Lepisosteus oculatus: one gene and its partner. The protein of the gene in region 1 binds, or shares a complex with, the protein of each later gene. Links are inferred from orthologs where the notes say so. Each region holds a gene or a part of one and is shown in the gene's direction. Other genes may lie near its edges.

Region 1 (11,789 bases):
AAAAAATGATGGCTATTTCAAGCTGCTGCATCACATGCATTTTAGGAATTATCCAGCGGCCATATCACTCTGCAACTCACAACTGGCAGCCCCCTGGAGCTCAGCTGGTGTGAGCCTGGTCAGTACCTGGATGGGAGACTCCTGGGAAAGCAGAGGCTGCTGCTGGAAGAGGTGTTAGTGGGGCCAGCAGGGGGCGCTCACCCTGCGGTCCATGTGGGTCCTAATGCCCCAGTATAGTGATGGGAACACTATACTGTTAATGGGCGCTGTCCTTTGGATGAGATATAAAACCGGGGTCCTGACTCTCTGTGGTCATTAAAAATCCCAGGGCGTTTCTCAAAAAGAGTAGGAGTGTAACCCCGGCGTCCTGGCCAAATTTCCCATTGGCCCTTACCAATCATGGCCTCCTAATAATCCCCATCTATGAATTGGCTACATTACTCTGTTCTCCTCCCCACTGAGAGCTGGTGTGTGGGGAGGATTCTGGCGCACTATGGCTGCCGTCGCATCATCCTGGTGGGGCTGCACACTGGTGGTGGTGGAGGGGATCCCCATTACCTGGAAAGTGCTTTGAGTGGAGTGTCCAGCAAAGCACTATGTAAATTATTATTATTATTAATTATTACTTTTTGAAGCATAAAAAAGGATGTGTAGGAGGATGGGGGACAGGAGGCCAGTGAGAACTTTGTTTCATTTAACATAATCTCCTTCCAGGACATTGTTGTGTGGCACTTCTCATGTGCTGTTAGTGTTATTGCCTTGGGTCATGTACTTGTCCTTACTTACCTGAATAAAGCTTTGCAAACTATGCAAAAGCGCTTTGGGATATAAGGCAGTATACAAATGCAAGTTATTGTTATTAAATTGTCTTCAATAAGTGCCTCTGCATCACGAGGCCATCAGTAATACTGAAGGAATCCTTAATGAGGACAATGTCTGATAAGTATGACAACAACACAGTGTATTCATTTTAACAAGGGAAGCTCTATGATCTGGGCAGCGGGTGCTGTCTCAATAATCAATTGATTGTCTGAGGCACACTGCTGTGCAGAAGAAGTTTGCATTTTTCTGCTCTTTTAAGAAGAAGCACAATTCTATGGTGGTTTTGTATTTATACTTTAGCAATTGTGCTGAAAGCTAAGATAATCCTGATCTGTATTTTGTGCTGCAAAATACATCTTTCTAACTTTGTGAATATGTCAAGTGGAACGATGTTACCCGAGAGTGAGTCAGTGAGATATGATAGGTGAAAGTAATGGATTAGGTATTCTGTCACCTAATATTTATTGTTCTTGCCTAGTTTACCCTGAGTTGTTCTGCTCAGGTTTCTGAATATTCGGACATTGCCGATTTGAGTTTTGTTTTTACTAAGTGCATTAATAAAAATCCAAACAGTTGGAATAGCATAAAACACTATAAGATGTTTTGGGCTAATAGTTAAGGCTATAGAACGTTCTAACTTCACTAACTCCAGCTGTGTGGAGAATATGCACTATATGTTAACAAAAAAAGTAGCCTTAAACTGAATTGTTAATCAAATGCAAATCTGGTTTCTTGCTAATTCTTTCTTCTTGTCCTGTTTATAAATGAAATATTTAACTTTTGAAAAGAATGTTAGCTTCAAATGTTCCAAATGTAACTTCTGAAGTGATAAAACAATGAGGTTCTGCATTACGATTTGCAGTAACAAACGAAAAGCAGCGCAGATCGGGACACAGAAATTGAGGGGAGAACTGACAAGGGGAAATCTACCCCTTTTACTGCAGCTCCCCTGTTGTAACTTCTGGTTGTGCCCGAGATGGCTAAGACCTGTACAGAGGTGTGGATGTAGAGCTGAGCTGATCTTCGTTCTTCTACCGTTTGCAAAGGCTGAGCAATCCTTGCACATGACTCTAAACCTGCAGCTGAGAATGAGCTTGTGCAAAAAGAGGAATAGCTGTGCTGAAACGCTGAACCTGCAGCTGCAGCATCCCCCAGCCCTCCTGTTACTCCTCGGTTTGAAAGGAAACCGCTGCGTCTCTGTTCTGCACGAGAAGGGAAACCAGGGCTCGCCGGGGAAGCCCTGATGAGTTCGTCGCTAACGAGCTGTCCCCTGTCCCCTCCCCCACACGCAGGCTTCCCTCTCAACGACCAGCTCTTCCAGATGATCACCCGCCGCTACAGCGACGACAACGGGAACATGGACTTCGACAACTACATCGGCTGTCTGGTGCGGCTGGACGCCATGTGCCGTGAGTACCGAGGCCTCTCTCCGCCGGGCGCCGCACGGCCAGGCCCGGGGCACAACCGCACAGGACTCCAGCTGCTCCAGAGTTGCTCAGGCTAGAGAGAAGGAACACATGACATATTCCTCGTCCAGGATGGCAGCATTCTGCTGAAGACTCCTCCATTGCACAAGAGTGCAGAGGGAGTGTAATTCATGAACACTGGCCACTGAACCCGTCGCTCTCACCTGATCAAAGGCACTGAAGAGGGTTTGACAGTACGGTGCACGGTATCTTTTTGCCGCTGTCTTGTGACTGTGTTTTGTTTTCCCATGCTCTGGGTTGGCAGTTGCTCTCAACACCTGGAATCCAGCAGTTTTTTTTTTTTTGTATCTCCTTAAGTCATTAACAGCCCTGCCCCTGGCAGAAGGGTGAAACTCATTTACATTAGGTTTGACAGAGCAAGTGGTCCATTCTCCACAGCCATCAGCTACTGGAGATTCAAAAAGACCCAGAAAAGCAGCTGGATATATTTCAATGTACAGTTCGTGAAGGACCTGTCTAGGAGGAGGGGTGAATACACTTCTTAAACATTAGAAAAACCCAGGAGATGCTTCGTGGCGGTTTTTTCTGTTGCTTTTATTTTACCATTTCAGCAAAGTGTGCCATTTGGAGATTTTAAATAATGTTACCATTTTGTAATTTCAGGTGCATTCAAAACCCTGGACAAGGATGATAATGGAATCATTAAAGTCAATATTCAGGAGGTAAATATGCTATGTCAGTGACCGGTGATACAGTATGCCCTTGATATTGACCTTGTTACTCTTCAAATTCCTTCAGCTTCACTTTCCACTGTTCAAGGTATTTTCAAGCAGTTTTTCTCGTCAATGTCAATGTTGTCCTGCATGTCCACAAAGAACACCTGCAAACACAGAGAATATGAGCGGACAGTAAAACTCCAACAGCACAAATTTCTTTAAGAAGTCTCTGTACCAGAAGATGGTGTGCGCAGAGCTAACATCTGTTTTTTTTCCCATTTTCAGTGGCTGCAGCTGACAATGTATTCTTGAACAGCGACGCAGATACAGTGCCTGCACAGAAAGAAGCCATAGAACCAACCCACCCTCTGTGTAACTGCCCTGTGCCACATTACAACCTGCAATGTGCTTAACACCAGCTCCTGGCCCTCTCACCTGTACTGTGCATGTATACTCATACCTAGTGGCAGATGTAGTTTAAAACCATTAAAGCTTTTTTTTTTCTTATTTTAACTGGCTTATTTGGAGGAGGTCCAGAAACATTAGAGACGTTGTGTTTTGTAAATGATGACATTGTTTTGAAAATAGATTTAGTGGAGGGTTTCCAGTTTTTTTTTTACTTAAAGCTTAATGAGCTCTTTACAGCAGGGGGTGTCGAACTCCTTCTTGGAAGGCCCGGTGCTTTGTTCTAGTGGACGTAGTGGATTCAGGTGTGTAATTAGACCATTTCCAACATGGCCCCAGAGTGTCTACAAAGTTTTATAGGTAATTGAGCTTTGAATGGAGTGAACGTTTTATCAACTGTAAAAGACCTTAAACATCCTATACTGTACGTGTTAAGTAAAAAATAATTAAGGTGTTTGATTGATAACTTAGGTTGGAACAAAACCCCAAAGACACTAGGCCCTCCAGGACCTGAGTCTGACACCCCTGTACACTCCTGCTGTCCAGACAAGCCTGTGTGTCCTGTCTCATTCCTGTGCTGTTCGCTACAGAGTGCCTCCTGAAATGGCTTTTGTTCTGACCTCGGCAGCTGCAGTGCTCAGTTCTAGCAGTAGGTGGCCACCTTGCACAAGAGCAGCAACTGTTCTGGATTTCAGCTGCTTGAGCATTGGCTGTTCTTCTAACTCCGTCCAGTAGAGAGAGAAGTTTTGTAAAATACCTTTTTTTTTCCAATTATTATTTTACATTAAGTGTAAGAGGAGTCTCAGTTATTAAAAAAGGATGATTATCAGTTGCTACCCTTCCAGTTTCTTTAGCCCAGTGGTGTACTGCTCCAGACCAAGAGGTTCCACTTCTGTTCCCCGGCTTCCCCGGCCTGGTCGTAGCTTAAGGGCACCAGTTTCTAGTTTGACAGGTGATGATTTGAAGTGGCTCTAGCCCTCGAAGACTGGAGCTGTGCCCTGTGCCTTCCTTTCTTGCAGCGGTTCCCAGTCCTGGTCCTGGTGACCCACACACCTGCTGGGTTTCATCCCAGCCCACCTTCATTAGATCACTGAAGCCTTAATTGATCTAGGAAGTTGCTTTGTTGAGATAGTATACTCTAGTGACAAGTTTGGAAATTAATTTCACAAAATGAATGTTTGGAGCTCGTGTTGAATGTAGAGCTCAAGCATGTTGAAGAGCTGGGGATTGATTTGCGAATTGGGTAAAAGGTGGACAGTAGCCCTTTCACTGTTACCCACAAATACACCCATATGTTAGACCTTATTCTAACATAACTATTATAAAAAAGTCTGCAAAGGAACAGGTAACGGGTTTATTCCAGGCTGAAAAGAAAGGAAATGCAGCATTTTGGCTGTGGAGCCTTCTTCAGGTATATACATCTTCAGATATACGTAAAAAAAAAGTATGTATATCATTTCTATGACCTTTCACCAACAGATTGAAACTAGTTTAAACTTCCAAGTGCTAAACTAGATATGTTACTAAAATTAAAACTAAAGTAAGTGTCAGTTACAGAGGTGTAGTGGTGCTGCCCCTCAGTGCCGGGGCCCTGGGTTCGATTTCTGATGCTGTCTGCGTGGAGTCTCTATGTTCTCCCCGTGTTCACATGTGCTCTGGTGGGTACTGGTGTGTTAATTGGCTGCTGGGAATTTTGGCTCTGGTGCGAGCGCGTGGGTGTTTGTGTCCGTGTGTGTGTGACCCGTGATGGACTGGTGTCCCGACCGTGGTGTGCCGTGCCTTGAGCCCGTTGCTTGCTGGGGCCCTGATTTGGATAAAGCGGTCAGAAAACGTGTGGATGGAGTGAGGAATAAGGAGCGGGCTAGACAGAGCCAACTACAAACAGAGCTGAACGGCACTTCGGATCCCTGCCCGACACCAGCTGCCCGGCGGCCGTGACCTCCACGCCAGTTCGCAGTTTTCCATCTCCGGGAAACAAAACCGGAAAGAATCTGCGTTTTACGAGTATCGATATCGATATCAGAAAGGTGTGACGAACAGGTGAACGCGAAGTGGACAGCAGTAGCGATGGAGTGTTTTCCATGAATGGCAGAACTCCGTGAGAGCAGCAGGTACAGTTTAGAGTCGCAGGCGCGCATGAAGCCGCGCACACGCAGCGAGAGGGACTTTCCGCACAGCACAGCTGTCGCCGAGCGGCGCCGGAGCCCTTTCTGGTGTCGTAAAGGTCACCTTTTAAGCGAGCACCGATCAGAAAACCCTTTACCCATTGAAGACGAGGCACTGCCCACTTCAGTTTGTAAATGCAGCGGCTGTTTGGCGGTCTACGTGACTCTGACGACAGTTCCTGTTTCAATAAGACCCAAAAGCAGACCGCGCTATTAGCTCAGTTCCAGTCCCTGACGGCGTGATGCTCGGCTGTTCAGGAAAAGATAAGGACCTATATTAAAACAGACTCTGGGCTCTGATTGCTGTCTAATCTCCTGAATCCTAAGAGTTCAATTCTTTCCATGTTGAGTCATGATTGATGACGCGCGTTCACACACACTTCGGGCCGCCGTTTACAATGAGCCTTTTTGTCTTTTGTGTCAGTCCAGGAGCAGACAGGAAAAGTTGTTTTATATATATATTTCAAATACTCTCCATATACACACTGTAACGTGCAAACAGTTAATAACTTGTGATTGCCAAAGCATGTGAAAAATATTCAGCGTTGAAAATAATGCGACGGAATGAAAAAACGAAAAACGTCTATATTGTAATCTTTCATTTGTTATCTCCAGCGACTTCTGCCATCGCAGGACTGGCCACGCCTTTGAACTGAAGACCACGTGAAACTTTTTTTGTTACAGCTTACAGCTGTAAATGATATTAATTATATCATTTCAATGCGTGAATAAGAATTATACCGGAGGTTTCTCCAAGGGTAAAATTCGGTTCGGATGGTTTGTACGTGTTGATTATAGCAAATGAGTTTTCTTCACACGATGGAGAGCAGGGCGTGACCACAAACTCTCGACTAGCTGCTACAGAGCTGCAGGTTCAAATCCCCGCAGGTGGGACACAGGTGTTCTACCCGTGAGCAAAACACTTCAGTCAAATATCAACAGGAGCAGCTGTAAATAACAGAACGTCGCGTTACAAAAACATTTCAGCCCAACATATCACTTAAAATCATCTGAACGCGTGGTTGCCGATTTTTTAACATTACTTTATTAGCCCTATACAATTTCTTGCATTAGGAATTATCTTTTCGCATACCCCAGCTTGCTCTCCATGAGAGACACAGCACACAGATAGGGAGAGAGCCTGGGATTTAACAGGGTGCAAACACAGTATCCTTTTACAGGCCCTGTAAAGCCCTGAGCGGGACTTCAATTATCGACAAGACAGCTGCCCACTCAGCTGCACGGGTTTGACCCACAGCCTTGGCACACCGCACGTCCCGCGAAACCATCAGGCCGGCCCCCCGGCCAGCTCGGCCACACGCCGCAGGTGACGCTCGCAGGTGCGAGTTGCCGGGGCAACCTGCCTCCGAGCGCTTCGTGGGCCGGACCCCGCCCGGGAGGAGGGGCTGAAGCTCACTGGGGCGAGCCTATAGCGCTCGGCCCCACCCCCACCTCTGGGCTGACTGCCACCGCAGCCGTTCCAATCGCAGACGCGTCTGCGGCACCTGCAGGAAGCGAGATCGGAGACTGCACGCTGGCGGAGGCACAGAGGCGGCGAGCAAATACAGGTGGCTGAGCCCTTTCTCGTCTCCAGCCTCACAGGGACTAGGAAAACAGCCCGCATCCACAGGTAAGAACGTCATGCCGGCAGTTAACTTGTAAAACACAAGTTTCTTCCCTAACTTTGTTTTTGTTTCCGGTAACTGAAAGCGAACTTTTCGTTAAATAATTTCTGAAATGACTGGCCAGCACGGGGTCAGATAACGTACACAGATCCCGGTTGCCTCTCAGGTTAGAACGAGTGAAAGAGGCAACCCGTCCCCTTTCACCTGTGTTTTTAACTCTGGGTTCGTGCTCGAGGTGAATTCTGGAAGTCGCTTCGCTGGAGCTGTTTGGGGGCGTTATGAGATGGGAGAAGGAGCCGAGCGCTGGTTGTGCTCGAAGCAGATGTACTGGCTGCACTGGTCGCATTTTCGTGTTTTCCTGCGGAGAGACGGTTCGGCCGGATAGATATTCGCGTGCTTGTCATATGCGAATATTTCAAGTAACATTGTCTCAGTTCAGGGTGGATTGATAAAACTTGCCAATAACCAAGTTGTTTTGATCATTGTTGTTGTTGTTGTTGTTGGCCGTAAACTGGACTGCATGTTTGTTACTCCTAAAAGATTAGAATTTGCGCTGTTTCCAGCGGCTGTTCTCCTAGTGTCCCCGGACCGGCGCAGACTCCACAGCTGGGCATTGGTCGATACAGCTGTGGTCGCCGATTGATCCCGGGGATAACTCGGATTGAGTTAGCCGGGCATGGAAACCCGTCTGAACAACATGTTCAAAATCGCCTAAACCAACGGCGAGCGCATTTCAGATAATTGAGTTACCTTTTCCTATAATTAATTTTATGGTTGAGGCGGACATCCTAAGCGGTTTACTTGTGTATCCATTCAGAGAGCTGGGCATTTTGCAGGCGCTTCTGAGTGAAGTACCTCGGCCCGAGTACAGTGAGCAGCAGCGTCTTGTCTGGCACTGGAGCACGCCGGCTTGCAGCTGGGAGTCCTGAGCCTCAGCCCTGCCTGCTGCACCCCACATCATGATCAAGCATATTAAGGAGCAGGAGTAACCTAGGAGGAGCACCACATCTAAAAATCGATTCTGTGAAGTGTAAAAGAAAAGACGTAGTAGAAAAACGCTTGTCATTAGGGGTGAAGTTCAGAGATTTTAAATGAACAAGTAAAGGTTTTTTCTTTACTGTTGAAGACGCCATAAGAAAGCTCCACCGCTAAAACATTGTGCTTCTTTTGATCTCTTCTTAGCAAGGAATAAACCTTAAATGCTAAATGCTTGCTGATCCAGCTCCCTACTTGAGATTTTAAATGGCTCATCACCATCAGTGTGAACAACCAGCACCTCATAGTTCACATGTGAGCAACCTTTAAAAGGTCAACTGGTTCAGAATTTCGAACAAACGATCATCAGCATTAAAATAAACAAAACGCCTAATTTGATTATTCACGATCACGATGATCTTTTGCCGGGGGGGCATTTCCCACCGATGAAGTCATTTTGAAACCCAGCACATGCCAAGTCATCTCCTCCAGCCTTCCCAGCAACAGCATGTGACCCCTGATGAAAATAGATCGCAACGAGGAGACTCCTGAGTTTCTACATTAGAAGTAAGAAACTTCCTTCTGCATAGATAAAACTTCTGCAGTGTAGTGGAACAGACTGGCTGTGGGTTCGAGACCCTGACGCGGGCAGTGCTGATGTGCCCTGAGTGAGGTGCTTCGCCCCAGGAGCTCCATAGCTGTATAGCTGTATAGCTTTGCTGGAGGGGCGCCCCAGAAGCGGTCAAGGCCATTCTCTGTGCGTTAAGGTCTTCACCTGCCCTTCGCATGGGAGCCTCTGGGGCAGCGAATGTCCATGCCTGCCTTTCAACATTGCAGTGCCTGCGAAATGTTAAATTAATGGCAAACAGATGTCTGAATGTGCTTTAGGAAACCATCCAGGAAAATCTCACCAGACTGAGTGTCAGTTAAGTGCTGCTGTGCCCAACAGAGAGCCCTGTCAGGGAGAATGTGGTGTCCCACAGCCTGCACAGTTCTCTTCTGTGGGGCGGAGGATAAGGTGGTCTGGCAGCTCCATGTAGGTGTTTGTGTAAAAACACATCTGTGCACATTTCCCTGTCTTGCGAGTCTCCTTGTAAATGGCAGGCTTTCCGAGAGGGATGTTTCTGCTGAAGCGGATGTGTGGTGCCCAGTTCCCCAGTCTTAGAGAACAGAAAGCAAGCGTGCAGCAGATGCTTTGGCTGTCTCCGCAGTGCTGCGGGATACTGTGTTGGGAAAAGAGAAATAAACGTGCACTGCGCTGTCCTAAAACACACAGGGCTTAGACTGATGCAGGTGCTAATTCCAGGCAGAGGCAGACCTGTACCTCAACAGCAGTCTAATGCGCAGCGTTAATGGGTTGTAAATGGGTTGAAATGGAGAAGTATGGTGACAAAGTGCTGCACACTTCTTCTGAATAAAGAGCATGGTCTTCATGAATAATGCATTTCAGCAACAGATGTTTGCTATTGAAGTACTGCCCTGCTCGCTCTTTAAACAGTCCCAGCTGGGAGCTTTATTGCTTTTGTGTAGACTTTTTCTTTATAATCGTCAGCAGAGCAGTCCATTGTAGCCGGGGTCTCAAAATAAGTTCTACCTTATAGCGATGTCCTAAAGCAATTCTGAGTTCTGCAGCATTTTCTGGAGCCGCTGAGGCGGTGAGACAAGAGCAGTGGCTTTAATCCCTTGTCTATGTTCACACTGCCCTTCTTCTCAATTGCTGCCCACTGTTGTGAACTGCTCTTGTGGAGCAAGGACTTCGACACAGGAGACGGGTGTTTCACAAGGAAATAAAAAAGAAGCTCAGGGTGTGATGGATTGTTTACTCAGATAAATATAGTCTTTTGATCCTTTCTGTTAAATATTGTGAACAGGGCTTAAGATAAAAGTGGCACATCACTCCTGCCATGTGATGATGTATTAATCTTATTTTCCAGTCACACTGTGCAATATTTAAAATCCCCACCTGTGTATCTTCAGATTTAGCGCGCGCTCTTTCCCTCTCCGCCGGACAGTTCGAAAGGGTAGAGTGTTTGAACAGCAGCACAGGTGCAGATTCCCTGCGAGAAAACGGAATGCAGAAAGTGTAAAGAAATTCAGGAAAGCCAGGTGAATGTTTGTTGCTGCGAAGTGGCTTTTTAATGGAAGCTATTTATAATGGCACTGCTCTGCTCCCTGCTGGAACTGCAGGAATCTCATTGTGCTGGAGCTAATTCCTCGCCATGGGTATTTTTAACAGGGGTGGAGGGGGGGTTATGTATTCACTTCACAAACATATGAAGTCAGCAGTTACCCCAACGCTCTCTAAAAAAGCCATTTTCCTAGTTTTATTCCAGTCGGATTGTTCAGACGTCAGTGGAGAGGTATACTGTAGGTGCAGTACGTTCGCCCATCCTTTTGTATTCTGCTGGGCTCGAGCATGACCCGACAGGCACAGGGCCCAGCTGTGGCTACACCCCGGACAGGGTGCCAGTCTGTCACAGGGCACCCAGGGCACGCTTAAAGGACACGATTCAGAGGTGCTAATGGGAGGAAGCCAGAGAACCTGGGGAAAACCCATGCAATCGTGCAGAATACAGAGCCGGAGTCGAACCCAGAACCCTGGTGCTGTGAGGTGCTGGTGCTGCCCGTGTGCCATGCGGATGAGTAAAGATCTGCCGTGCTTGGCGTTACTGTGTGGCCGGGCTCTTGGGCCCATGGCTGTGAGAGCAGTAATGATGGTCTGCCCGCTGGGCGCCGTGCCAGCAGGCTGCAGGGTGTCAGGAACTCGCAGCTCCTGGAGAACATCTCCTCTCTGCAAGGAGCACCTCCTGCCAGCCGGGCCCCCGCGAGGGAGACAGTCTGCGCCCAGCGGGGCTGCTGGGTGTCAATACGAGGCCATGCAGAGACGCCCGCAGGGAGCTTCCCTGGCCCTCGAGGCAGACACTCATTAGCTCACTCCTTTTCAAGAGCTCCTCTTTCTTTGTGACAGCAAATTTACACCTGGTGAAGGCGATTCTCACTTCACCCTGAACAAAGAGGGAAAAAAATGAATTGACTGCACCAAAGATGTACTGTAGATCAGCATACTGTATGCCAAAAGACAAGTGTTAGTTGCAACATTTCAACATGACATTGAAAACAGTAAGTGGTGGGGCTCAGAGGAACTCTTTTTATTGTGCAAATCCAGCCCCAGAATCCACTTGCTTTGATTGAAAATGGACAATCACCCGATATTTTTTTAATTGAGTAGAGGTTTATGGTTTGTTAGAGTGTGTACTCATTGTAAGATGTCTGTTGTGGACTAAAGTTTATTTTGGTAGAAAAAAAATCAACATAATACAACAAATGATTCATTACAGTAGTAGGTACATGTATGATGAATCACGGGCTCTAAAGATACAATTTAAAGCAAGTCAAACAAAGGCAGTTCAATGCTATTTAAATTAGCCAAGTTGCAGGAATACACGCACTATCCAGAAGATTGGAAGATGTAGTCTGAAAGGGTGAGTTTGACGTGGTGCTGTATTGTCAGAAATGCAACCGGTCTGCTCCTGAGCTGAACCCCTCTCTGCAGTCCCACAGCTGAAAGACAAGGCTTGTGTCAGCCCAGCTTCGGACAGCCTGCCTTTCACCTCGTTCTTGTTCCACGCTGAATCGCATCACTATTGGGGGAAA
Region 2 (11,698 bases), about 7.5 Mb from region 1:
TAGCATTGTGCATATGGAGAAAGAGGTGAAATTACGGGGGAAATATCTCCCTGTACCCACTTCAGCCAATCGATTTGTTTAGAGGAGAGGCCTGGTACTAATGGCTTCTTGTGCACCGTCTCTGATCACGGCTATGTGCATGGTGGTACACTGCTCTCCTGTGGTGAGCTGTGAGCAGTCAAGCCCCTAATGGGGTGAAGAGGTGTTTCTGTATCTGCTATAGAGTCTGAAAGATCCCCATGTTGGGTAACTTGGCTTTCTCCTTATGAAAACTCCATATAGTCATTGATGTGACTCAAATCTCCAGTTTAAGTGTGGATAAAGGTTGATTTATTCAGAAATTGCTGATAATTATACAAATAGAGCTCCTATGACACCCCTTGCATTCCAGGTAAACAGCCTGCATCCACAGGTGCTTTTTAAAGAGTCAGCAACTTCTATTTACAAATGTAAAGCTACCCCACAGAGACTTGAGCAATACAAGTCAGTTCCCTTGTGAAGTACCCTGCCACAGTTCCAGTATGCATTCGTTGGGTGCCTCTTTGTAAATCTAAAAATAGATGATTTTTTTTGTGTTTGGGAAAATTGCTTACTGCTGACGTCTCTAGGGAGGCTACTTTTCAAATCCTTTTGTTGCAGCTGCTTGTACAAATTCAGCCTGTTGTGTGAAGGGATCCGCAGTATCAATGTTTAACGTTGAACCGAAAGTCTGGGCTTTGAATTTTAGGTCCAAACATACAGCCCGGGCTTGTAGTCAAAATGCCTTTCCTCTACAGACGGAGGACGATGTGCGGCACCCTGGACTACCTGCCCCCCGAGATGATCGAGGGGAGAACCCACGACGAGAAAGTGGACCTGTGGTGTATCGGGGTGCTGTGCTACGAGTGCTTGGTGGGGAACCCCCCTTTCGAGACCTCCAGCCACACTGAGACCTACAAGAGGATCACCAAGGTGGGGGTCGAAGCCCTGTGGTCTAAGGGCAGCCCAGGGGTGTAGCTGCTTGGCCTTCGCCTCTCGGCTGACTGCCCCCTCTCTCTCTCCAGGTGGATCTCCACTTCCCCAAGACGGTGTCGGAGGGCGCGCGGGACCTGATCTCCAAGCTGCTGCGCCACAGCCCCACCATGCGGCTCTCGCTGAAGGGCGTGCAGGAGCACCCCTGGGTCAAGAGCAACTCCCGCCGCGTGCTGCCCCCCGTCTTCACCCCCAAGAAAGCCTAACTGGGGCATCTGCCGGCGCCTGTGGGACGCATCGTGGCCTTTCTTGCGGTCTGCACGCCTGGCCGGGAAACGAAACCCTGCTGCTGTCCGAATCTCCACTCCAGGGAACTGCAGCTCTTTGTGCAGAGCCTCTCCAATCCAACCTTCACTGAACCTCCACATACAATACAGCAGCGCCCCTGCAGAAAACCAACCTGCCCCTCTGGAGGTGGGGGTGGGGGGGCTCATCCTGATCTGCAGTCATTTCTCTCGAACCTCAGCTACTTTTCATCCCTGTTCCCTCTGCTCTGTGGGTTTTAGCACCTGTACCATCTGTGTGGGCTCTGCTGGAAACAACTGGCTGGCGCCCCCTGGTGTCGGGGAGGTGGAGGTGTTCCTCAGGACCTGAAGCCTTGGACCTCAACAGCAGGACAGGATCTTTGCTGTGAGGTTGTTTGAAGAACAGGGACTGTCTTGACCGGTCTTTTAGTTTTTGGAGTTGTAGTATCTCACTGTCTCTGTTAATAGCCATTCCTGGAACTTGTTATTCTGGCTGAAAAAAAAAATTTTATGCAGGTTTATGAAAAGTCTTCCACGGTCAAAGGCACAGTATGCCGTTCTTGTATGTCTTGTCTTATATATGTTGTCTGAATGTTCTCTGTTGTATCCCAATGTAAATAAATTATACTGGAGATCCCAGCATGCTAAGTGTTGGCCTGGGGGTCCTCAAGGTGGCATTTTTGAATTACAGCTGTTTTGAGGAAGCTTTGCGGCTATCTGTAAGGGAAGAATATGCAATTTTCTGCCTTGAATTGTCTTGAAAGGAGTTAAGACAAGCTGGCTCAACCTGCCTTTTTTTAGTACGGAGACTGTGACCGCATTTTCTGGAATGTAGAGGCGCTCGGACTGCTTCAAGCAGTGCTGCCCAGCACCAGACCTAGTGCAGCCTGTAGGTTTTTATTTCAATTAATGAATCAACTGGCTTCATTGGAGCTGTATAACAGCTGCTGATTGATAGGTGATGCTTTATTTGGCGAATGAGAGTTCTGGTGCCAGTAAGCTGTTCTCATAGGGTTGGATTTGGAAATATTGAGGATTAGCGTGACTTCTTTTAGACTGTTGAAATCTACTGTTTTTATGTTTCGTCACCACTGGGATGTGTTTTAGAAAACCAATAAATTCTTTATACAATGTAAGGTGCTGGATGTTTCTTTATAGCTATTTACTGTGGGCTTTTAAAGGGTTTTCTTTTAACAGTGATGCAGGGCACAAGTAGAATAAAAAGCTCACAAGAGGTGCTGGACTGCACATACAATGTTATCTCTGCATTCAATTCCTGTGACTCCAGGAAAAGAGTGATCTGGTTTCCTGAGCCATGCTGCCATTTCCTGCTCTGGTTATTCCCCTTCTAGTGAGCAGGTTCACTGGTTTCTGCTGATCTTTTATCCATCAGCCTCCACTCCATCAGTTGGCTGTCGTTCTGTGCCATATGTTTTGCTCCCTCTTGGGAACATCCACCAATCCGTGTTTGAGACGAGGTTAAATTAGACCCAGTCGTGGAAGTTGTCGTGGTTGGCTCAAGACCATTCCCTTCATCTTGCTCGGGTTCACAGGGAGGGGTTTATGCCGTTTCTCTTGTGATGAAACGGCACCTCCAGTGGCAGGTCTGTCCGTCGCTGCAGAGCTTCAGTCCTGTGTGCAGTGCCGGGCTGTCTGCTCCAGGCTTGGGGTGTGCTGCACAAGGACCAGGAAGGATCTCGGTCTCTTCTGGGCGATTGTGCTCTGATTGGCGTTTGTGTCAGACCTGCTGTTTTTAATAATCTGGGACTCTGCATGATTTCAAACCAGGGAGAGATTTCTTCACAATCGCTGAGCATTTTTTCCAGCTATGGTGGTTTTGCCAAAAAAGGGTGACTATAGAAATTGCTGAATGTCTAGTGGTGGGATAAGTCTGACTTCCACCACACTTCAACTTGTAGTGTTTTAATTGGCCTGATTTCATTCTTGAGATCTCTTTGTTGTCCTACGTGCTCCTAGTAACGATGAAGCTTTCAGCTGGCTTTTGATATGTAAAAGTTAAATGCTGCTATATGCAGAATAATTCAAAAAGTTTGCAGTGAGTCAAATTTATTGGTTGAAAGAGGGGATTGGGGAGGGGGCGTCATCAGGAGTGTGGTTGCATAGGGGGGTCCTAAAGGCCTGGATTGGGCCAATGGCCTGGTTTGGGATGCAAGCAGAACGCCAGGCCTTTTGTTTGTGATTTAAAGTATACAGTTAAAAAATCTCATCTCGCCTCGCCTCCCCTCCACCCCTTCTGATGCTGCGACTGGCAGAGCACTGTGCCACTTTGAATTCCAAGATGCTGAAGGCGCTGTCGCCCGCTCGCTGCCAGCCTAAAAATAGCTGCCGTCAGGCCGGCACGGGCGGAGAGGAGTCGGGAGATTATCCGATGCGACAGTGGCAGCCCCCCCACTTTTCACACACGTCAAGTGCAGCAGTGTTGAGGGTGCGAAGTGGGTGCTGGGACCTAATTAACACCTGGGCCTGGTGTGAGAGCCTGGCTGCCTGGAATTCTTTCAATCCGAAGTTGAGGTGTTTGTGTAGGAGAGAAGAAGGGAAAAAAAGAGGCGAGAAGCAACTATCTTGTTGGCGATTCCCCCAGGATTCCTAGAGAATCCGTAGGCAGTGCAAGCACAGAAACGGGAGACGTGTGGATCCGTTTCGAACCAGATTTATGTTTATAAATCTTTTTGTTCTTGAGCTCTCCAAAGATGTTCAGCATTTTGGGTGCTTTGCAGTGGCAGAAAGAAGGAACGATGATAATTGCTTATGCTTATATAGTACTTTTCTGGACACTCTACTCAGAACACATCACAGGTAAAGGGGACTCCCCTCCACCACCACCACCACCACCACCACCACCACCACCCATGTGCAGCCCCACCTGGATGATGCAATGGCAGCCATAGTGCACCAGTACACCCACCACACACCAGCTGTCAGTGGAGAGGAGAACAGAGTGATGGAGCCAGTTCAGAGATGGGGATTATTAGGAGGCCATGACTGGTAAAGGCCTGCGGGAAATTTAGCAAACACCCCTATTCTTTTTGAGAAACACCCACACAGACCACAGGGTGAGCGCCCCCTGCTGGCCCTACTGACACCTCTTCCAGCAGCAACCTTAGCTTTTCCAGTAGGTCTCCCATCCAGCTACTGGCCAGGCTCACAGCTGTTGAGCTTCAGTAGGACTGCCAGTCGAGAGCTGCAGGGTGATATGGCTGCTGGTAAGCAGAGCCGGGAGAGAGCTTTCCTCTCAATGCATTGATCTGGTGCCCCAGGAGATCATTACTCAGGAGTAATGGGGAACAGATTCCATCACCAGATCTCCTCCAATTTCCTCCTACTCCCAGCTCAGATCCTCATTTTTTCTACCTGCTATCGACAGACACTGCCCTTCCTTGTAACAGCTGTCCGAATTAATCTTGTGGGCTACCAGAGAGTGTCGGTTTGTATTAAAGAGCTCAAGAGTGGAGACCGATCAGATGAGACCACTTCAGCACTTGTTTCTGATTTGTACATTAGTAACTCATCCAGAGTTTTCCTGAAAGACTCCAAGACGATAGTTTTGGTTTCGTAACTGGGCAGCTTGTTCCAGACTCCCACTGCCCTTTGTGTAAAGAGGTGCCTCCTACTCTTGAGTGTCGCATGCCGGCGACTTCGTATTCTCATTTTTGTTGATTGCTTTCAGTTATGTCAATTTATTTAGCAGAATTCAACCCTTATCTATTTTCTTATATATTTTTCGCCATCAGCATTGTAACTCGGCCAGCGCCTTGCATCGTCTATCTCTTAAGTGTTGTTGTTACGAATGCGACTGCGCCAGGCGGAGAGCGGGATCTGTGTTTTTCTGATTTACCACATATGGTAAAGGAATGGTACACGTCTGGATTAAATCGATCCTTTCCCTGGCAAATACTTTGTGTCTTAAAGAATTACGTCTTCTGCCCAAGCAAGATATTATGATGCCCTAATGTTTAGGTGCAAGCCTTTTGCGTGAATAACTGGTTTGCTGTGAAATCCGAGAGAAATAAATAAAAGAATTAAAGTTTGGAGTAGGCGCAAATAAAGTCATTCATACTTTTTCAGAGACGGCTCGTATGGTAGCGTGGCCGAGCGGTCTAAGGCGCTGGATTAAGGCTCCAGTCTCTTCGGGGGCGTGGGTTCGAATCCCACCGCTGCCAATAATCCATTTTAGTTTAAAATAGTTCAGAATTAGGATAGACAAGGAGATACCATCTGTGGTGATAGCAGTTTTACAGACTGTGCGGCAGCTTTGCTCATTTTTCTGCAGATCCCTAGCGTGAAGAAGCGCGGTCAGATCTGAAATCCCAGCTCTCTTTCCACATGCTCAGTCTGCAGGCTCTCGAGCTTGTTGCCTTCGGTCCAGTTAAGCAATGTTTTGGGGGGGGGGAAGGGTGGAGTGTAGGGGCGGGGAGAGGGCTGTCACGGAAAGGTCAATTTTTTGTTTTGTACCTGTTCAGATTTTATTTTCACAAAGCAACACACCCCGCTTCGGACGATTTGAATTCATCGCTCAGCCTTCGTGACGCGCTGAAACGTTCTAGAATTTGAGACGCGGGAGATGGATTTTATTTATTTGTTTGTTTGTTCAAAAAAGAAGGCCACGCTACGAGTTAAAAGTTGGGCGGCATCTTTCTGGCGCTGCCGACAGGTCCAGAAGCCAGAGAGCCAAGTCACTGCGCCGCCATTTTGTTGTGCCTCCCACGGTACCCTGGCTCTCTTTCCCGTCTTTCTCCTCTCTCGACATCGTTTCTCTGAGGCGTAAATACACCCTCCCTTCCCCGGTAACACTCCTGCGTTTAAAATACAGGACGCCCCTTCGTCTTTTTTCCAAACAATTCACGAAAATGAGACTTTTTGCAAAATACAGCGCCATGTATATGTATGGCCGTTATGTTACAGCGCCATCTTCCCTCATCCTCGTCATCTATTTGAAAAGCTGACAGGAAAACATTCAGGGGGAAAAAAAAACTATAACATGTAAACATTAGGACTAAGCCGTGTAATGAGAGCCGGGGCTTTGTGCGAGTGTGCGGGGGGGAGGCGGGGTGGGGCGACTCTTAACAGTGTGCAGGGAATGCAGGACTACAACAACAGGAAAAGATTTTTAAAAACTTTCCGACAATTAAGCGTTTTAACAAAAACAACGCCGCTGTTCGACTGTTTCGTGAGGAAACAGAAAAACGCACCCCAGGATAGACGGTTTGTCCCCTGAAAAAGCTGACATTAATGACAGACACAACTAAAAAAAAAAAGAAAAAACACCCCTTTATGAACTTGACCTATTGAAAATTCACCCAGACTGCTAGTACACTGTTAGTTCGTGTTCTGGAGAATAAAAAGAAGAAGCGCTAGTTCAGTAGATATTTTAAAAGTTTATTTTTTCCCGTCAATATAGCACGATTCCCAGTATATTGCCTACAGGTTATGCGATTCCAACCCCCCGCCCCCTCCATCTCTCCAGCTCCCCGGAGCTGCCCCGGATGACGGATGACGTCAACAGGCCATCTTTGTTCTCAGAGCCCAGCGCCTGTGTTTTTTTTTTTCCCAATATCCCTACAGCTCGAGCGCCTGGACCCATCCGCGCGCGAGGCAGCCATCCTCTCCCATCGATTTGCACGGTAGAAACTGAATAAATAAGACCGAAGACGGGGACAGGACCACCGCCTACAATATAAAGGGACACATCAGCGACCGCAGCGGGGGAACATAAAATACAAACATCGACAAAATCTGAACAGAATATTTAAAAAAAATATATTGACACCTATTCACAAGAAAAATAATCTAGAACGCCAGAAGCATATACTTAACAGACCACAAACGAGATGTGAGTACGAATAATTGGTTTTGCATGTAGGCGTTAGGTATAATATATATATATATTTGTATTTAATTGTCTGCTAAATGAGGATTTTCACAGGCGGGCGAGATGCAATGAATACACCCCAGGCTGCCCTACCCCTGCCCTCTCTCCGAATTGCCAGAAAGGGTCAGATAACGGGGCGGCAGAGTGGATATTTTCCGAGTGTCCTTTTATTTCACCACCGTATGAGAGGACAGAGAGAAATAATGAAGCGTCTTGTTTAAACGCAGTACTGTGTCACTCCGGACAGAACCAGCCCTTCGCGTTGTGTTGTACAGGAGCCGAGAAATGTTTGTAATTATTGTCACTTTTAATTTTGTTTTCCCCCCTAATCATCTCTTAGAAATACGCTTTCCTTTCGGCGAACAACACAAGCCTCTCTCGCCATCTCACGTGGGTTGGATGTAAACCATTTGTGTCGGGTTTCTAGCCGATTTTCTTCGGCGTTTTGAGTCGCAAAACAAGCGGCTTAGACGACTCCCTGCGCTGGTTTGCGAGAAGCGAGCGGGGGTCGCGGTTTTGGGTCAAGACGTTGATGGCGTTTGTGCCGACAGCGCTGTGGTTCCCTGTCTTACATGGGGGCGATATCCCGGGGTAATCGCGGCGCCCGTTCGTGGGCTTGTGTAGGGCTGTCACGGGAGGACGGAGAGGGGGCTGGGTGTGCGGTTCTGGACGGTCCGGGCGCCAGTGGACCGCATCCCCACCGAGGAAGGACTCCGTGTTTCCCGGCCGATCAGGGCCGGCTGCTGGGATTTCGGGATGGCGATATCACCCCCGGTCTCGACAGGTTGATCGCGACAGGGGAAGGAAAAGCAGTCTGGTTTGGATGCAGCCCGGTGCTCCTGACTGCGATGTGTTCGCCCACAGCTACACTGTAATGTAGCTCGGAAAGATGGACAGAAGACTCGACCTGACAGGTTTTCCGCTGCCCGTCGTTGTAATAAGGGATCTGGTTGCTTAGGCGTCCACTCTGATATTTGTTTTTGAAAGGGAGCAAACATGACTGTTTCAGAGGAGCACAATTTATATAAGATGTCAGAAATATGGAGGATGAGGGTGATGGTGATGACGATGATGGTGATGATGATGACGGGCAGAACGCTGTCATTTATAGCGCTGGCGACCGGGGGCTCGTGTCGGTCGTCCGCCGCCTCAGGTGACGGATCGGGAGCAGAGAGCGGACCGGCGGCCGGAGTCGGTTCTGTGAGCTTCACCGATCCAAAACGAGCGTGGAGCCGCAGGGATCGGGCGTGATTATGGAAATTTAACGATATATTTTTTTTTTAAAGAGGGGGTATTTTTGTATTCAGCGCTTCGTGAATGTGATTGTAATGTGATTGAGCGTGCAGGTTTTTTTTTTTGATGAATCACGCTTCTCGAATGAGCTACCCCCCTCCTCCTCCTCCTCCTCGCCCCCCCCGTCTCTCTCACCCTCTCTCCGGTTTAACGGAGAGGTAGGGCTCCACCATCCAGCCCACGACGCACTCGGGTGTATCCGCGCCGCCCCGAGAAGATGAGGTGTTGTCTTTTTAAAACCGGACACCCGAGGAGTACACGGGGGGGGTCGCGCCGGGTGGGCGGGCGGAAAGAGCTAACTTGTCATTCTCAGGCCCCGGGGTGTGAGTGTGCGCAGATCCCCCCATCTCCGCGTCCTGTCCCCTGCCTCCTGCCTCTCGCCTCTTCTTGCGTTGTAGCTCTCTGTCCGTCACTTACACGCCACTAATCTGCATGCAATCACAGCAAAGACAGGTTGCTCTTGCCTGGTATGTTCTCTGTGCCTTTGTTTACATGTGTCCATCCATATCTCTCAAAATATCAAGGGTGCCCTGTCTCGAATACACTTGGGCGAGAAGATCGCCGATATGTACCTGCAATACACACCTGAAATGCCGCACCGCATTTTTTTGGTTTTGTTTTCGCGGTGAGGTTGCGGCGTGTACTTCTGTATAAAAGCAAACCTCTCGTTCTGGGGATCCGTCTCTGACGTGACGCGTTCCTGCGTAGGGCACGAGAGCGCAGCTCGCCTCTCGCCTCTCGCCGGCGGGCGGGAGTGCGCGCCCGTGCGCGGCGCGTGTTGGCAGGGCCAGGCTCCGCTCTTCCAAGATGGCTGTGGCGTCAAACCCCTTGAGCAGCGCGGGGAGGAGGGGAGGGGGGGTGTTGTGTTTTTATTTCTTGGAAGAGGACGGATTTGCCGTCTAAAAATAGCTCGAGACGCGAATAGTGGTAGATCTGGAATCAAATGAAAGCAGAGGAATGAACACAATTTTATCAGAAGTCCAGTGGTATAGGTCCTGTGACAGTAACCCATGGCTATTTCACTTGGGGATTTCCGTATGAGCAGCATCTGGCTTTTGAGCAACACACCAAAGAAGAGGTTTAGTGTGGATTTTACACAGCACTCTGCACTGTGGGATTAACGTGACACCACTTAGAGGTGACCTTTATTCGGAATTCTGTCTCCCCCGGCTGGCTGGACTGTGTCATGGCGGGTCTTGCGCCAGAAGGCTCATGTTTACCATATTAATCACACAGCCAGTTGTCTGATGTTTTATTGGTAGTCACAGTCACAGGGATAGACTCTTATAGTCCCTGTGGAGTCCAGTACACTGACACAGCCCAGTCACAGGGCTCTAGACTCTTACAGTCCCTGTGGAGTCCAGTACACTGACACAGCCCAGTCACAGGGCTCTAGACTCTCACAGTCCCTGTGGAGTCCAGCACACTGACACAGCCCAGTCACAGGGCTCTAGACTCTTACAGTCCCTGTGGAGTCCAGTACACTGACACAGCCCAGTCACAGGGCTCTAGACTCTCACAGTCCCTGTGGAGTCCAGTACACTGACACAGCCCAGTCACAGGGATAGACTCTCACAGTCCCTGTGGAGTCCAGCACACTGACACAGCCCAGTCACAGGGCTCTAGACTCTCACGGTCCCTGTGGAGTCCAGCACACTGACACAGCCCAGTCACAGGGCTCTAGACTCTTACAGTCCCTGTGGAGTCCAGCACACTGACACAGCCCAGTCACAGGGCTCTAGACTCTCACAGTCCCTGTGGAGTCCGGCACACTGGCGCAGCCCAGTCACAGGGCTCTAGACTCTCACAGTCCCTGTGGAGTCCAGCACACTGACACAGCCCAGTCACAGGGCTCTAGACTCTCACAGTCCCTGTGGAGTCCAGCACACTGACACAGCCCAGTCACAGGGCTCTAGACTAGATTTATATAGGGTTTGGTTATTGTAGGTCCATACTTCCAGTGGAAAAGCCAAATTCCTGCCATCATTTTATGCTTTAAAGAAGAGAACAAGAATCCAAAGGACATTTACAAACATGTTTTTAGAGTGTTCACAGGTATCCAAAAGCTTGACCGATTTCAGGCTTAGTTGAAAGTCATGAATGTTGCTGACTCTACTTCATTTTTCCAATTGACAAAGAGGCCCACTGCTAGAATGGGAGTAGTGGCTTCTCCTGGTTGCCGCTCCCTGAGATGATGATGATCAGTTTGTGCTTTGACTGGGCTGGCATTCTGCTTCCATGAGAACGTCTGTTCTAACTGGTTGGCAGGCTGTGGTGTGGCTCTGCTGTGTCCTGCGCGAATGTGTGATAACCCCTGTTTTGACTGTTTGATTGACAGGTCTGCCCCGGCTGCCGCCCCAGCTGCTGCACCTGGAGAAGGGGGAGCTCCACCTGCCCCCCAGCAGCCCCCCAACCTCACCAGCAACCGACGCCTGCAGCAGACGCAGGCCCAGGTGGACGAGGTGAGCGGGCAGACGAGCGCATGGGCTGGCCGTGACAGACTCGCCCCCCGACAGACTGACTTGGCTCTCCTTGCTTTGACGGTCCTTCACGAACGCGCTGGCGGATCTCACGTGCTGAAACACCCGCAGATGTATGGGGATTCGCAGACACCAACAGACAGACTGAAGCTCTGAGCCATGCACTGATACAGAGAGTTTAGACCCAGTCAGATGTGCGGAGTGCTCAGATGCACTAATAGACCGACACAGGAATTGTCTCGAGTGGGAAGGGTGACAGCAGTAGATCCTGTACTGAGAGATTTGCCACTTCCTGTGGAGTCCAGTACACTGACACAGCCCAGTCACAGGGCTCTAGACTCTCACAGTCCCTGTGGAGTCCAGCACACTGACACAGCCCAGTCACAGGGCTCTAGACTCTCACAGTCCCTGTGGAGTCCAGTACACTGACACAGCCCAGTCACAGGGCTCTAGACTCTCACAGTCCCTGTGGAGTCCAGCACACTGACACAGCCCAGTCACAGGGCTCTAGACTCTCACAGTCCCTGTGGAGTCCAGCACACTGACACAGCCCAGTCACAGGGCTCTAGACTCTCACAGTCCCTGTGGAGTCCAGTACACTGACACAGCCCAGTCACAGGGCTCTAGACTCTCACAGTCCCTGTGGAGTCCAGTACACTGACACAGCCCAGTCACAGGGCTCTAGACTCTCACAGTCCCTGTGGAGTCCAGCACACTGACACAGCCCAGTCACAGGGCTCTAGACTCTCACAGTCCCTGTGGAGTCCAGTACACTGACA

Evidence for each region.
Region 2: the proteins of synaptosomal-associated protein 25 (region 1) and vamp2 are in contact, whole or in part, in a crystal structure (PDB 1SFC), measured with the Rattus norvegicus proteins. The link is inferred for Lepisosteus oculatus from reciprocal best matches to the Homo sapiens genes SNAP25 and VAMP2. Residues at the interface, in NP_112253.1 of Rattus norvegicus: Gly131, Gly132, Phe133, Ile134, Arg135, Arg136, Asn139, Leu150, Glu151, Ser154, Ile157, Gly158, Leu160, Arg161, Ala164, Leu165, Met167, Gly168, Ile171, Asp172, Gln174, Asn175, Ile178, Asp179, Ile181, Met182, Ala185, Asp186, Asn188, Lys189; in NP_036795.1 of Rattus norvegicus: Asn25, Thr27, Ser28, Asn29, Arg30, Arg31, Leu32, Thr35, Gln38, Val39, Glu41, Val42, Ile45, Met46, Asn49, Lys52, Val53, Glu55, Arg56, Lys59, Leu60, Glu62, Leu63, Arg66, Ala69, Leu70, Gly73, Ala74, Gln76, Phe77.

The regions. Positions count from the first base shown.
Region 1 is NC_090698.1:1,851,946-1,863,734, forward strand, and holds the start of synaptosomal-associated protein 25, read left to right. Parts: upstream 1-7,008; 5' UTR 7,009-7,165; intron 7,166-11,789. Other genes in the region: calpain small subunit 1, read left to right, coding at 2,115-2,231, 2,913-2,971, 3,251-3,277.
Region 2 is NC_090698.1:9,313,309-9,325,006, forward strand, and holds the start of vamp2 (vesicle-associated membrane protein 2), read left to right. Parts: upstream 1-6,786; 5' UTR 6,787-7,105; coding exon 7,106-7,107; intron 7,108-10,777; coding exon 10,778-10,901; intron 10,902-11,698. Other genes in the region: aurkb (aurora kinase B), read left to right, coding at 777-951, 1,044-1,217. UniProt on the Homo sapiens protein: Involved in the targeting and/or fusion of transport vesicles to their target membrane. Major SNARE protein of synaptic vesicles which mediates fusion of synaptic vesicles to release neurotransmitters.